4 linked regions of the Danio rerio genome follow. The protein of the gene in region 1 purifies or fractionates together with the protein of each later gene. This does not show direct contact. Links are inferred from orthologs where the notes say so. Each region holds a gene or a part of one and is shown on either strand. Other genes may lie near its edges.

The links.
Region 2: the proteins of eif4a1a (region 1) and ibtk purify together in Homo sapiens (co-immunoprecipitation; 4 studies listed by BioGRID and IntAct, counting the BioPlex papers as one, with this or other methods). This does not show direct contact. The link is inferred for Danio rerio from reciprocal best matches to the Homo sapiens genes EIF4A1 and IBTK.
Region 3: the proteins of eif4a1a (region 1) and npm1b purify together in Homo sapiens (affinity purification with mass spectrometry; 3 studies listed by BioGRID and IntAct, with this or other methods). This does not show direct contact. The link is inferred for Danio rerio from reciprocal best matches to the Homo sapiens genes EIF4A1 and NPM1.
Region 4: the proteins of eif4a1a (region 1) and eif4ea purify together in Homo sapiens (affinity purification with mass spectrometry; 8 studies listed by BioGRID and IntAct, counting the BioPlex papers as one, with this or other methods). This does not show direct contact. The link is inferred for Danio rerio from reciprocal best matches to the Homo sapiens genes EIF4A1 and EIF4E.

What each region holds. Positions count from the first base shown.
Region 1 is NC_133182.1:26,546,631-26,550,609, reverse strand, and holds the start of eif4a1a (eukaryotic translation initiation factor 4A1A), read left to right. Parts: upstream 1-1,179; 5' UTR 1,180-1,221; coding exon 1,222-1,244; intron 1,245-2,588; coding exon 2,589-2,637; intron 2,638-3,066; coding exon 3,067-3,199; intron 3,200-3,495; coding exon 3,496-3,635; intron 3,636-3,951; coding exon 3,952-3,979. UniProt on the Homo sapiens protein: ATP-dependent RNA helicase which is a subunit of the eIF4F complex involved in cap recognition and is required for mRNA binding to ribosome.
Region 2 is NC_133191.1:5,050,850-5,054,349, forward strand, and holds part of ibtk (inhibitor of Bruton tyrosine kinase), read left to right. Parts: 5' UTR 1-99; coding exon 100-423; intron 424-2,846; coding exon 2,847-2,943; intron 2,944-3,500. UniProt on the Homo sapiens protein: Acts as an inhibitor of BTK tyrosine kinase activity, thereby playing a role in B-cell development. Down-regulates BTK kinase activity, leading to interference with BTK-mediated calcium mobilization and NF-kappa-B-driven transcription.
Region 3 is NC_133189.1:6,155,414-6,158,913, forward strand, and holds part of npm1b (nucleophosmin 1b), read right to left. Parts: intron 3,226-3,500; coding exon 3,140-3,225; intron 709-3,139; coding exon 651-708; intron 1-650. UniProt on the Homo sapiens protein: Involved in diverse cellular processes such as ribosome biogenesis, centrosome duplication, protein chaperoning, histone assembly, cell proliferation, and regulation of tumor suppressors p53/TP53 and ARF.
Region 4 is NC_133189.1:48,172,714-48,175,798, reverse strand, and holds the end of eif4ea (eukaryotic translation initiation factor 4E-1A), read left to right. Parts: intron 1-1,623; coding exon 1,624-1,738; 3' UTR 1,739-1,753; intron 1,754-1,826; 3' UTR 1,827-2,585; downstream 2,586-3,085. UniProt on the Homo sapiens protein: Acts in the cytoplasm to initiate and regulate protein synthesis and is required in the nucleus for export of a subset of mRNAs from the nucleus to the cytoplasm which promotes processes such as RNA capping, processing and splicing.

The DNA of each region.
Region 1 (3,979 bases):
CTGCACAGCCAGTGAGGGAAACAAAACAAAAAAAGATACATTTGTCCAAAAAGCCTGAGAGACTCCACACTGAGGAAATTTCATCCTCAAGTCACTTGTGTTTTTGTTTTGTATAACTCTTCTGTTTGGTTTCGTATTGGAGCCCAACGCCTTGACTGAGACACCGGAGGTTATTAACAGTTGACTGCCAGGCAGGCCCTTGTGTGTTGCTGCCTGAGTCAAACATTCTGTGTTGGGTTTCATTTTTTTGTTCTGCGCATAAAGTTGTTGCAAAACTCCTAATCAGAAATGTTGGCATGAGAGTAACTGTGCTAAAATGCAAGTAACAAATCATGTCTGCCGTTTTGTTTTTAATAAATCATCATGCGAAAATAATAATTGATGCATTCATCAAGAATTACATGCTTTTTTTTGTCACTTAAATAGCCCAATTTGTTATGATGGGTTACTGAATCACCACACTGTTTACTTTGTACTGTGCTCATCCTTTCTTAAACTGGAAGTAATACCAGTAAGCTGTTTTAAGCCTTCATATTTGTAAGAACTGTTAAATGGGAACAACAGCTGTGAATCATAAATGACTCACTTTCGACATTTATGCAGAGGAAGACAAGACATTGGGCAATAAGGGAGGGTTGTCCTGTACTATCTTGAAGTCAGCAGCAAATTATTTGACCCAGTAACATTTTACATTTGACCCAGTAAGATTTTACATTTGAATGCTGTCAGAACCATTTTGAAACATTTCAACAGCGAGTGACATAAATAGTAAAGGTACTCAAATATGTATGTCCATTTAAACCCATCATAAAAACAAACAGGTCTTCGTATTGTCATTTAACGTTATTTACGTTAGCATATTCTATAAAGAAATGGACTCAAAATGTTTTCGACGAAAACCTGTAATTTGTGCTATTTTTTTATACGTGTAGTTGGTTTACGTCATTTAAAAAGGTATTTACCATTTAGAAAGTATCTTTCTAAGCATCACATTTCCTTTGAAATTTGTTTTAAGTTCCAGTTAGGATTTTTCCCCATTTCGTGACGTCTATGAATAGGCGCTTATGATAGGGCGGTGCCAATCGTTAACTAACCAATGAGAGTTGTTACTGGGCGGGACTACAGGCTGACTGAACGGCAAGACGTCCAATCAATGGACTTTGAACATCGTCACGGTTTAAGTATTTGCGCGTTTCCGCCAGTCTACAGTCCTTTGTAATAATGTCGTCTGAACATGAAGATAGGTAAGATAACGTGTTCGACGAATGTTTTTTCTATCTGTTAAAATATTGATTATTTATGGAAAACAATTAGGAATTCTTATCGATTTAAGATGTATTGTAGTAAAAGATTGTTCATTAGCGGTTTAAAAACTAGCATTATTTGCCGATTTGGCATGTTCGTGCTCGCCCTGTTCCCGCCTCGTTAAAATCGTTTAGAAAAGTGTGTTTTTAATCCAGTTTCCTGCGATTTTGTCGTTTTGTTTTAGGATATCGTATTGATGTTAACTAAAAAGTGTTTTAAGATGAATTGGTGCCATATTTTCGATGTTCCGTTAAAATGCCGGTTCTTGTGACGCAACGTGTCTCACGCGCTGCTTCAGTACATCGTGTGACCGGCGCGTCCATGCGGCACATGGCCGTTTCATTTCCCTCGTTTTGAACCGATTGCGGACATTTTCAACATTCATTGTTATGTACTCTACTCGAGAACATTGTTTCGGATGCCATCCATTATTAAAACCGACTTTGTTGGCAGATTTAAGCCCTCAATCGAGAGGATATGTATGGCACATGGCCTTTCATGGGCGAGACAATGGAGTGTGGTCTGGGAGTATAACGTTAGGCCTAACGTCAAGGCCTGTTTTCAACCATTTCAAACCAACTATTTTCTAAGATTAAAATTTTATAACTTTAAAGGGTGGTATTTTTATGGATTTAAAAAGAAGCGAAGCGGTGTCGTTGTTTAATATGTAACTTGATATACTGTAACTTCATAATCGAGAAACATGCGTGTTAATTAAATGGTATATCAATCTGCGTGGTTATGCTGTTTCGTGACGTTTTTTATAAGATTGGATGTTGTAGTAATAGATTAATGTTGAATATGCGAATGAATGTGTCTCGGTGGAGCCACGTTGGTAATGGCGCTGAGCGAAAATGGCTGCCTCTTGGTAACGTAGATTTCAGAGGTTGCTATATCAGTTTCTTTAAGTTCTGTCTCAGTTTAACTAAACAATAATGAACATCGAAAAACAAACCTGTCGGACCCATTTTTATAAAAAGTAATGTTAGGTGGAGTGACAGTCTCCGTCACCGTTACTTTCAGTATGTGGGAAATGACGCAATGAAAGTGAATGGAGATTGACTGTGACTATGCCTCACAGTCTGAGCAATTTTTTTGGGGGGGGGGTGGGTTTATATATATATATATATATATATATATATATATATACATATATATACATACATTCTATGCAGTAGTAAAGTTCAGTTAATGTGTTCTTTGGAGATGTTCAGATTTTGGCACTGAGAAATTAATTTTGCGAAATGAGTTGTCAATGTACTAATTACAACCTCTTATTGCAGACCCAGAGACAATGGCCCGGAGGGGATGGAGCCAGATGGAGTCATTGAGGTTGGTGTCTCTTAAGAGCCATTTCACCTAAAGTATTTATAACCACAATATTGTATACGTCTTTGTGTCTATGGATAGCAGGAATCACTATAGAATAAAGGTAGTAATTAGATACAGATATTACATATAACTAAACATAGTGGGTCATGAATTCCTTATCTTTGATCTGTCCACAAATTTAAATGTAAAATCAGGGCTTCATGTTATTTCGAGGCGGTTATACAATTTATAGAGGCTACAGAAGTCCATATATACTTAAATCTTTTTTTTTTTTTTTTGCAATAAAAATCATAGAATACTCAACAAAACATTATGCAACCCTGAAATAAAGTAATAAAATAGTTACTTGTAAGCTATTTATATTCAGGTGCAAAAAATGAGTTGTCGTGTGTTAATAATAATCAACTATAAATCACATTTATTTTACAGAGCAACTGGAAGGAGATTGTTGATAGTTTTGATGATATGAACCTGCGAGAGGCACTTCTCAGAGGAATCTATGCTTATGGTTTTGAGAAACCTTCCGCCATTCAGCAAAGGGCAATCCTCCCTTGTATCAAGGGTATGTAGAAATGTAACTATCCATCTATATTTGCTTGGCATATTTACTTGAACGAAAATATTTGTTTATTCACGCCCTTATCATCTGGGCAAGGCTGTGTCTGTCAGTGACACTCTGACCTATATCTGGTAAGGGCAGAGGAAATAAAGCCCATATTCATCCCAGTCATCTCAATACAGTGAGGCATAGACTGTTTCATGGTATGGGCACAAACTGCCTCGGCATACTCCTTGAAGGCTTTAGTGAGTAACCGACTGTGAAACACCAAATAATAATAATTAATATTCTCTCTATAGGTTATGATGTCATTGCACAGGCTCAGTCCGGCACAGGAAAGACTGCCACGTTTGCCATCTCCATCCTGCAGCAGATTGATGTGGAGCTGAAGGCCACACAAGCTATGGTTCTGGCACCTACCAGAGAGCTGGCCCAACAGGTGCGAACCATTTCACATTCAACACTAGGGACACAAGATAAAGTCTTGCAAATGTTTCAGTTTTATACACGTGTCCCCTATCATCTGGGCAAAGCTGTGCCTGCCAGTGGCACAAAGCTTATATCTGTTAGGGGCAGAGGAAATGAAGGCCATATTCATCCCAGTCGGCTCAACGTAGTGAGAAAAAGACTGTTTCATGCTATGGGCACATACTTGTCTTAACTTGACTCATGAGCTCAGCTAGTTTCAGATGCAATGAATGTTAAATGGGATTGATCTCTCAAGCTGATGCAGAACTCTCTTCTGTTCTCCTCAGATTCAGAAGGTGGTCTTGGCTCTTGGAG
Region 2 (3,500 bases), on another chromosome or scaffold:
ATAATTGCTTGGTAAGTCTGAGAAGTTTAACCATTAAGCAAATATTGTGTGGGGTTTGGGTTATTTTTTGGGTTTTAGTTTTGCGGGTGGGAAGCAAAAATGAATCTGGGAACTCCAGATTGCACACCGAAGTGCCGTTCTGAAAGGCACGCGGATGAAGTGATCTCAGCTTTGACCAGCGGTTCAGAGGCCTGTCTGCGGGCCTTCCTGTCTGTCCACTGTCACAATTCGGCTACTCTGCGGGATGAGTTCGGACGCACAGCTCTCCACCTCGCAGCCTCCATGGGAAAGCGGGAACTGCTTCAGTGGCTTCTGGACTGTAAACATGCTGACCTGTTGGCGAAGGACAAGGAGTCTGGCTGGACTGCACTGCATCGCAGCGCCTTCTACGGGCAAATTCACTGCCTCATAACCCTCATCAAGGTGAGAGCTGATGTCGATACAGTATAGACCACTTCAATGTGGCAATTGTCACTGGCCCACGAACATTTCCTGTTTGTTGTCAAACTAACCAACACGAAATAGGTTAGGACCATTGTTTTTTGTTTACATCCCTCAAAATGGTCTTAGGAAGAAATGATTTAATTCAGATATACATTAGAGCAGTCTTTCCCAACGCTGTTCCTGGAGAAACACCAATAGTACATATTTTGTATGTCTCCCTTCTTTAACTTCAGGTTTTGGAGTCTTGTTATGTTTTAATGAGTTGATTTCAGGTGTATTTGATTAGGGAGAGGTTGAAAATAAGTACTGTTGGTGTGCAGGGTTGGGTAACACTCATAGTCTGTAAAATATACAGTCTATGAGTGTTGCACAACCCTTTCTCCATAAGACTTTCACCAGAAGAAAAAATATTATCAGACATATTGTGAACATTTTCTTGCTCTGTTAAACATTATTTGGGAAATAATTAAAAAAGGAAGAATAATTCAAAGGGGGTCTAATAATTCTGACTTCAGCTTTATATGTAATTGTCTGTATTGCAGCCTTATTTGACGTAGTGACGTCACCCATAGGTTTTTGAAGAGCGCAAAAGAAGCCACAAGTAGGCGCGGCCAACCATTATTAGACCCCCTGTTTAATTCTTTCCCCAATTTTTGTTTAACGGAGAGAAGATTTTTTTTTAACACATTTGTAATCATATTAGTTTTAATAACTCATCTCTAATAACTGATTTATTTTATCTTTGCCATGATGACAGTAAATAATATTTTACTAGATATTTTTCAAGACACTTCTATACAGCTTAAAGTGACATTTAAAGGCTAAACTAGGTTAATTTTATTAACTAGGCAGATTAGGGTAAATAGGCAAGTTGTTATAAAGCGATGGTTTGTTTTGTAGACAAAAAAAAGCTGAAAGGGGCTAATAATTTTGTCCTTTAAATGGTTTAAACAATTCAAAACTGCTTTTATTCTAGCCGAAATAAAACAAATAAGACTTTCTCCAGAAGAAAAAAATATTATCAGACATACTGTGAAAAGTTTCTTGCTCTGTTAAACGTTATTTGGGAAATAATTAAAAAAGAAGAAAAATTCAAAGGGCGTCTAATAATTCTGACTTCAACTTTATATGGAATTGTCTGTATTGCTGCCTTTTTTGATTTATTTTGATTTTTTTGCAATTAGTTTAATGACGTTGTAAACAATCAACAGTCTTCATGATAATGAAAATTTTGAAACTGTGATACTAACCATCAACAAGTTGACAGTAGTTTACCTTAAACCACTAATATACAAAGTCATTTAATTAAGTTAAATGACACAAGCACACAAATTTATATCACAGTTGGTTTTGTTGCTGTTACAGAGTGAGAAATTGCACACTTCACCATTTAAAGATCCCATGAAGTGCTTTGAAATGTAAATTTTTTTAATTTGATGTTTGACATAATCTTTACTGAAAAACGTAGAGAGGGCGGGATATAGAGTAGCTCCTCCCCTTTAAAAAAACATCTATTAGCGATTTGTTTTATCATAGCTCTGCCAGTGAGAGTGGTTGAGCTCAAGTGCATCAAATGAAAAGTAAATGAACAGCGTATTAAAGGGGGCGGGGGATGTCAGACACTAGAGAGCATTTGATTGGTCAAGATTTGATGAGTAACTGAAATAAAAGGTGACGTGAAATAAACCATTGATCCATTTAGCCGGAAGTGGCAAGCTACAAGTTTTACATGTTTATATTTTCTAAATGCAAATTTGTGTGATTGTTTTGTACCACACTAGCTTACAAATATACTTGAAGACTAACATACTGATACTAACATCTAAATAACGTTACTTTAATTTCATTGGACCTTTAAAACAAATTACAAAAATGTTCATTTTCCATTCAAAGCTGGTGGATTTTTGGAAGTTTTATATCACGTATGTGGCATGAAAGTCAGCACGAAAATGAACTTGACTCTCTATTGTCATGCATATCTGAATGAAAAGGTCTTAAAATGCAGGTTGGGAATTGATTTTGTTCATGGAGTATGGACGCAATGAGTAAATAATGTTAATTGGCCTCCTGGCTGATATATTTGAGAGCCACTGCAGGTTTTAAAACGCATTGAACTGTGGAACGGGAATCACCAGGGCTGCTTTATATTCTCCATCCATTCCATTGGTTTATTGGCTTGCATGGTTGTCTTTGATTCAAATGTGTTTGGGTCATACTTTAGAAAGGCTTCTGTTTGAATTTATTTGTTTAAAGTCATTACATTTGAAGGACTCCAGTGCATTAATTGTAATCTTTACACTTTTTATTATACTGTTATTCAAACCACTACCAGTTTTTCAACAAACAATATTTAATCTTTTTAAATGTAATTAAATGTAATATATTAAATGTTTGCGTTCCAGCGTGGAGGATCGCTGTCCATGCAGGATAAGGAGGGTCTTTCTGTGCTGGACCTGACCATGAAGGACCGTCCAGCGCATGTTGTGTATCAAAACACTGGTAATTAAATTGGTTCCATTTCCTCACTACTATTCATTTTACTGTACCAACTCTCATTTATAACATTGTTCGCTTTAAGATATTTTTTTCATTTTTGTCAGTCTTCCTCTTCAATATCAGTGTTATAAAAAACTTTTGAGAAGTATCTCTTGTTTTCATGTAGTAAAAGCATAGTAAGACTTTACATTAAGGTTAAGGCATTAGTAAATATGGATTACCACATCTGTTAACCATTACTCAATCTATATTTATGTTAACTAAACATATATTAGCATGTTATTTAATATATATATAAAGGGGACCTATTATGCAAAAATCACATATAAGAGGATTAGGGTGCTTTCACACTATCACTTTTGGTCCGCACCCGGGTTCATTTGACGTCATAGTACGGTATGTTTAGCTAGTGTGTGAACGTCTGCAGAAACACTTTGGCCCCATTTACACTAGTGCATTTTAGTTCTAAAACGGCGTTTAAGATCATAAACGATCCGCGTCCACACTAGCTTTTCACCTAGCGTCTCTGAACATATCTCCGTCCACACTACGCCACCAAA
Region 3 (3,500 bases), on another chromosome or scaffold:
TGGATATGAACAAGATGATAAAGATGGCACCAAAAGACACTTTAGTTATTAAAATGTGAAGGAAAGAATATAAAGTGCTCTCGAAGCTGATGGGGTGAATACAGGTGCTGAAAGATTCTGAGTCTCTCTCAGGAAGAGACTGGCACCTGCTGGTCACTCTGGTGTTCACTTCGGAACACAGTGGGAACATGGCGAAATGTAACATGCAATGTGAACATGTTTCAAAGTATGGAGAAAAGAAGATTTTTATCAAATAAAAACAGAAAATAAAAAAACCTGGAGTTATCCTGAAAAACTCAGCTTTGCATCACAAATGTTTTGCATCTTAGAATATATTAGGAAAATATAATTTAGTTTATTAACAGTTTTTAACAGTAATTACTATTACTAACTAATAATACACAGTAATATTAATAAACTGTTATGTTTTACAATATCACACAATTGCTGTCTTGGAAAACTCTAAAAATGTAGAAAAAAAATTAATACAGTAATTCCAATATTGTGAAATATCATTACTGTTAATCACTATTATTTTAAAAGTTAAAATATATATTTTTATTTAATATAATCCTGTTCTTTATATATATAGCATAAGTACCAAACTTCTTTTTCCAAATATTCTAAACAAAAAAAGCAGGAAAACTTACTTTTTGAGTGGATTTGACAGGGCTCTTTACAGCAGGCTTTTCTTGTTTGTCATCATCCCTAAAGATAGATAAAATTAATTTCAACATCTGAACATTTGAAGTGGATCTTAACATTTGAAGTGGATAAAATAAAGATTTTAAAAAATTGTCCCAAGACAAGAATGGGTGTTGTTGGTAGCTTCAAATGTTGACAACTGTGTATATATATATATATATATATATATATATATATATATATATATATATATATATATATATATATATATATATATATATACATATATATATGTGTGTGTGTGTGTGTGTGTGCATGTGTGTGTATGTATGCAAAAAACGATGCTAGAGTTTGAGATTCTTTAAAAAAAAAAAAAGTGTCATTGTGCAAGCAGCAGCAGTTGCCGCTTTCACTTTAACCATTCTTTGAAAAGATTATTAATGGGCTTTTTCCAGAGATGGGTTGCGGCTGGAAGGGCATCCTCTGCGTAAAAACATGCTGGATAAGTTGGCGGTTCATTCCGCTGTCACGACCACGGATTAATAAAGGGACTAAGCCAACAAGAAAATGAATTAATTAATTAATGGGCCTAACATTAACCGTGTGCAGGTGATCATCCTTTCATTATGGCATGTTTTTCACCTGCTTTCTTTTACAGTTATTGTTTTATTAATTATGGTATATTAATCATCCTTTACAATACCATTGCTTTATTAGTAGATTAACTTCCCATTTATTTGTAGTTAACTGGTGTTCTGGGACCTTTAGCCAGTACAGACTACTGTTCATACTTCTAGATACATGACAATAAATATTTTTAAAATGTCAATTGTATTTTTTTAAAGAAAAGTTTTGTTGAATAAAAAGTGTTTGTTTACAGCTATATTTGGCTTGTTTTGAAAATTTCTAATTATTTTAAATTTGTGGATAAGAATTTTTTTTTTTTTGAGTTTTGTTTTTTTTGGTGTAGCCAGATAATAATAAGGTAAATCTGTAGTGTTGATCCCTGTTAAGTCTTGTGAAACAAGAACTATTTGCAATGCAGCACTAAAATCTATTTGCTCATGCTCATTGTACGAGGTCATACACAACACACAAAACGTGAAATAAATAAGGAGTCATGTAGACATAGCACAACTTCTAAATTAAAAAGTTTAGCATGCCAAAATCAAATATATGCATATAAAATGTATTCTCCTTACAACAAAATTGTAGGTCGTGAAAATGGCGAGTGGCTAGTAATGTTGAAAAACTACTAGCCACAGTCACTAATATAAATATAAATATATATATATATATATATATATATATATATATATATATATATATATATATATATATATATATATATATATATATATATATTACTCATAAATTATAAATAAATAAATTCGTATTCATAAATTACCTTTCACGTGAATGTGCAAATTGTATTTCACATTCGCCCTGGATTTGTGATTGTTTATATTTTTGAGACTTTCCAGGCAGCACACAACTCTCACACAGATCACTTTTTAGCAAATCAGATGAGACGTCATTGTTCAACCAATCATACCTCAAAGAGAGCAATGTAATTGAGGTACTCCACTTGGCAAACCATTTATGTAATCAGACTTAATTTAGAAAGGAATAAACACACACACAAATCTAAGTTGATTCACACATGAAAGACGATTTGCCCATTTGATTTGCGTAGTAATGTAAAACAAATTTTAAACATTTACAACTTTTTGTACACTGTTATACATTTTTAATTTGTAATATACATTGTTGACATTTCTAAAATGATTTTTTGAATATACAGTTAAAGTCAGAAATATAAACCCCCTTTTAATTTTAAATTTATTTTTTATATTTCCCAAATGATGTAACATAGCAAGAAAATTTTCACAGTATGTCTGATAATATTTTTTCTTCTAGAAAAATTCTTATTTGTTTTATTTCAGCTAGAATAAAAGCAGTTTTTAATTTTTTAAATACCATTTTTGGGGACACAATTATTAGCCCCTTTAAGCTATTTTTTTTTTCCGATAGTCAACAGAACAAACCATTGTTATACAATAACTTGCCTAATTACCCTATCCTGCCTAACTAACATAATTAACCTAGTTAATCGTAGTTAAACACTTTAAGCTGTATTGAAGTGTCTTAAAAAATATCTAGTCAAATATTATTTACTGCCATCATGGCAAAAATCAAATAAATCAGTTATTATAAATGAGTTATTAAAACTATTATGCTTAGAAATATGTTGACAAAATCTTCTCTCCGTTAAACAGAAATTGAGGAGAAAAAATAAACGAGGGCTAATAATTTAGGGAGGCTAATAATTCTGACTTCAACTGTATAATTTAATTGTATGCATGTAAACTGTTTTTATGATTATATATATTTTGTCATATACTTAAGTATAAATGAACCTTATTGAAGTAGTTCACTGCGTGTAAAAACTTTCAATGAAACACTTTATAACTGAACAAACTTGAGCTCTTACTCTTCTTCATCATCATCATCATCGTCGTCGTCGTCGTCATCATCATCGCTGTCTTCATCCTCATCTGAGTCCATTTTCAGCTTTTTCTAAATAAAAAAAAAGAAAAAAAATACCTCTATTAGAAGCAGAAAATTAGATGATATAATCATATTACATTATATTTAAACTATAGTTATGCAATTATATTACTTATTTTTATATTCCTGGTGTCTCAATTTTATGAAGTAATAAGCAGCAAAAAATAAATAAGCATTGCAGTTATTTTTTGGCCAGTAAATCACATCCTTAAAAAGAAAGTCCCTCAAAATGAAAAATCCTGTCATCATTTACTCACCCTTAACTTGAACGCAAAAGAAGATGT
Region 4 (3,085 bases), on another chromosome or scaffold:
GAGTGTTAAATTATTTATCAAAAATTGAACTGAAAAATCATATTTAACTTTGAATATATTTTTGTGTGAATTTTATTTATTTATATTCTAAATATTTGTCTGAGTCACTTTTGTTGTAATATGAATTAGTTTTTATCATGTAATATTTTCTATCTATATCCATTTTGCCATGAATTAACCATACGTTGCTGATGTGGGAATAAATAAATAACATCAAGCCACCAATCCAAACATTTAGGTTGTTGCTGATTTAAAAAGGTTAAATTGTAAGGATTTGTGGAGTGAGAGGAAACGAAATGCAGTTAGAATTTTTTGCAAACTGAATTGCGACAGATTTTGTGACTTAGCTGCATATTTTTTCAGGTTTTCAGGTTCATTTTCTTTTTGGCTTAGTCCCTTTATTAATTCGGGTCGCCACAGCGGAATGAACCGCCTACTTATCCAGCAAGCTTTTACGCAGCGCATGCCCTTCCAGTCGAAACCCATCTCTGGGGAAAAAAAAGCTACTACTTGTCAACTATTTTTGGTTATTAGTCATGCAGATTATGCCTTGACTTTGTCTATAAGGCTACGTTCACACTGAGCCAAATGTGGCTCGAATTAGATTTTTTCCCCCTCATGTTACTCAGGTAATGACAGTGTGAACAACCCAAACGCATGGAATCTGATCTTTTCAGGTCAGATCTGTGCCACTTTCATATGTAGTCTTAAATTAGACACAGATCTGATGTTTTGCAATGCGACTGCAGTGTGAACGGTTATGTCGGATTTCTTGTGACTTTTACATAATCTTCGAGCAACATGCGTCATTATTCTGTGCTGCAAACATCCTGTACTCCTCAGCAGCATCGTAGAACGGCACACAGGGCGTTTACTGCACCACAGAAAGCTTGTTGTTTTTTTGAAAAAGATTTTGGAGGCAAAACTGGTGTTTGTTAACGATTGAGGCGCGGGTTGATCGTGAAGCTGAAGAGCATCGTGGGTGTTGCAAATAGGGACTCTGTGTGCAAAGGAGGATGAACTTTCTCTCCGAGAGAAAAAAGGGCAGGTGCTCGAGCATCCAAACCCCCCTTCTGCACGTGTCTACTGTTTATAATGAAGTAAAATTAAATAACTGCAAATGGAGATAAAACAACTCCGCCTTTACAGTTTAGTCTTACTCTGTTCATTAACCCTTGATGAGTTCACTGCACCGGTGGTCATACAAACGTGCACCGCTGTTGTCATAAATCACAAACGATCAGTGATTTCAATCACAAGTGACTTGTTTTAGATTTCAAATGGCAGAATACACATTAGTAGTAGCAGAACAATCATTTACGGTTCATGAAACACACCATGGTTGTCTGTGAAAAGGGCAATAATCATATAAGCATGGTCTGACAACGTGCTTACTTCATACAGTATCACAAGTGCATAATTAGACATTTTGTGCTGTCTGTAATGTACTTTTGCGCAAGCGGGTCACTTTAGGATCTGTTCACCCTGCAAATCTGAAATTGGCCACATTTATAAGAGCATCGTCAACAGCCATACACAAAAAAAAAAATCTGATTTGAGCACTAAACCTAGCAGTGTGAACGTAGCCTAAGTGTCTACATTTTGTCTTTTCCTCCTTAACAGGCGTGTGTACAAAGAAAGATTAGGTGTGCCACCAAAGGTCATCATTGGATACCAGTCACATGCGGACACGGCCACCAAAAGTGGTTCCACCACCAAGAACAAGTTTGTTGTTTAAGGAGCCTTTTAAACAGTAGGTATTTTTATCATTCCTTTAACATTTTCATATCTTTACATCGATTACTCATGCCGTGATTTAATTTCAGATGCTGCATCAACAGTCTGAATCTATATCAAATCCAGATCTTCATCAACAGTGACATATAAACAGACAAGCAGGATCTGACCTTTCCACAGGATTCTGTGAGGGAAACACTAGGAAATTAAAGGCCTTGAGATTTGAAGATTATTCAGAGGAATATCGTATTTACAAAACTGTACAGTGTATAAAAAACAAAGCCACGTTCTTTTTTTAATTGTCAACGTACTATTAACAAATCGTTTTTGCTAGTGGGGATTGGGGGAGTGCGTTCGATTCAATTTATGAATGTTTTTCTTTCATATTCCGTTTGACTTTTTTATGTTGTGTTGCAGTTATTAAATCTTAAGTGTAATTTATTTATTTTTTTACTCGGTGCACTAATTTCTGCTTTGGATTTAGTGTTTAAGTGATTTCGACGGTAACCTGATCATGCTATTTCTAATCACACTATCTCGTATTGCAGCTTGAGAATGTCAAAGGTTGGCTCTGTTGCAAAGACTGTTGTATAAATGTGTATTTTTGCAGTCTTGTTCCACATTCCTCATGTCAAGTGTTTAAGGCAGTATTGAGACAACGGATCTCCTTTTTTCACAAAGTAGCTGGATTTCTTTGTAATACGAAACATAACTCCTTTCTTGAACATGGGTGCTTATGAAAATGTATGGAAAAAAACTGACTGTAAATAAATTGTACAGTGCATTGTCTATAACTAGTAAGAGCCTCTGAAATGCTTATGTTTATGATAAATAAATAATCCTCTCTGAGATTCTTGAGATGTGGAAAACATTTTCTTGTTCCATTAGGATATTTACACTCCAAAAAGTGAATATCTTCCTCAGTGTTTTCTTTATTTAATACAAATATTTAAACATCCTTCAAACGAGATACATTAGTTGAGATGCAAAAGACTTCTCTGTTGCAGTGTTGGGCAAGCTTGGGAAATGTAGTGAGCTAAACTATTAGTTACTCTATGTAAAATGTAGCTTAACTACACTAAAAGCTACCGCCTGGGAAATGTAGTAAGCTAAATTAGATGGCAAAAGTAGCTTAGCTACATCTAAGCTATTTTTTATTTTTACATCGAAGCAACTTCAATCCAATTCTGATTAAGTGATCAATAAAACTGCATAATTAAGTTCAGTTATTTACTGCAATTAATATGCTCTACTAAACAGAAATAGCTTGTATTAGACAGCAAACACAAATAAATTCAAAAATCCTGTGCTGCACATTTTAAATACTATAGTAATATAAAGATATATT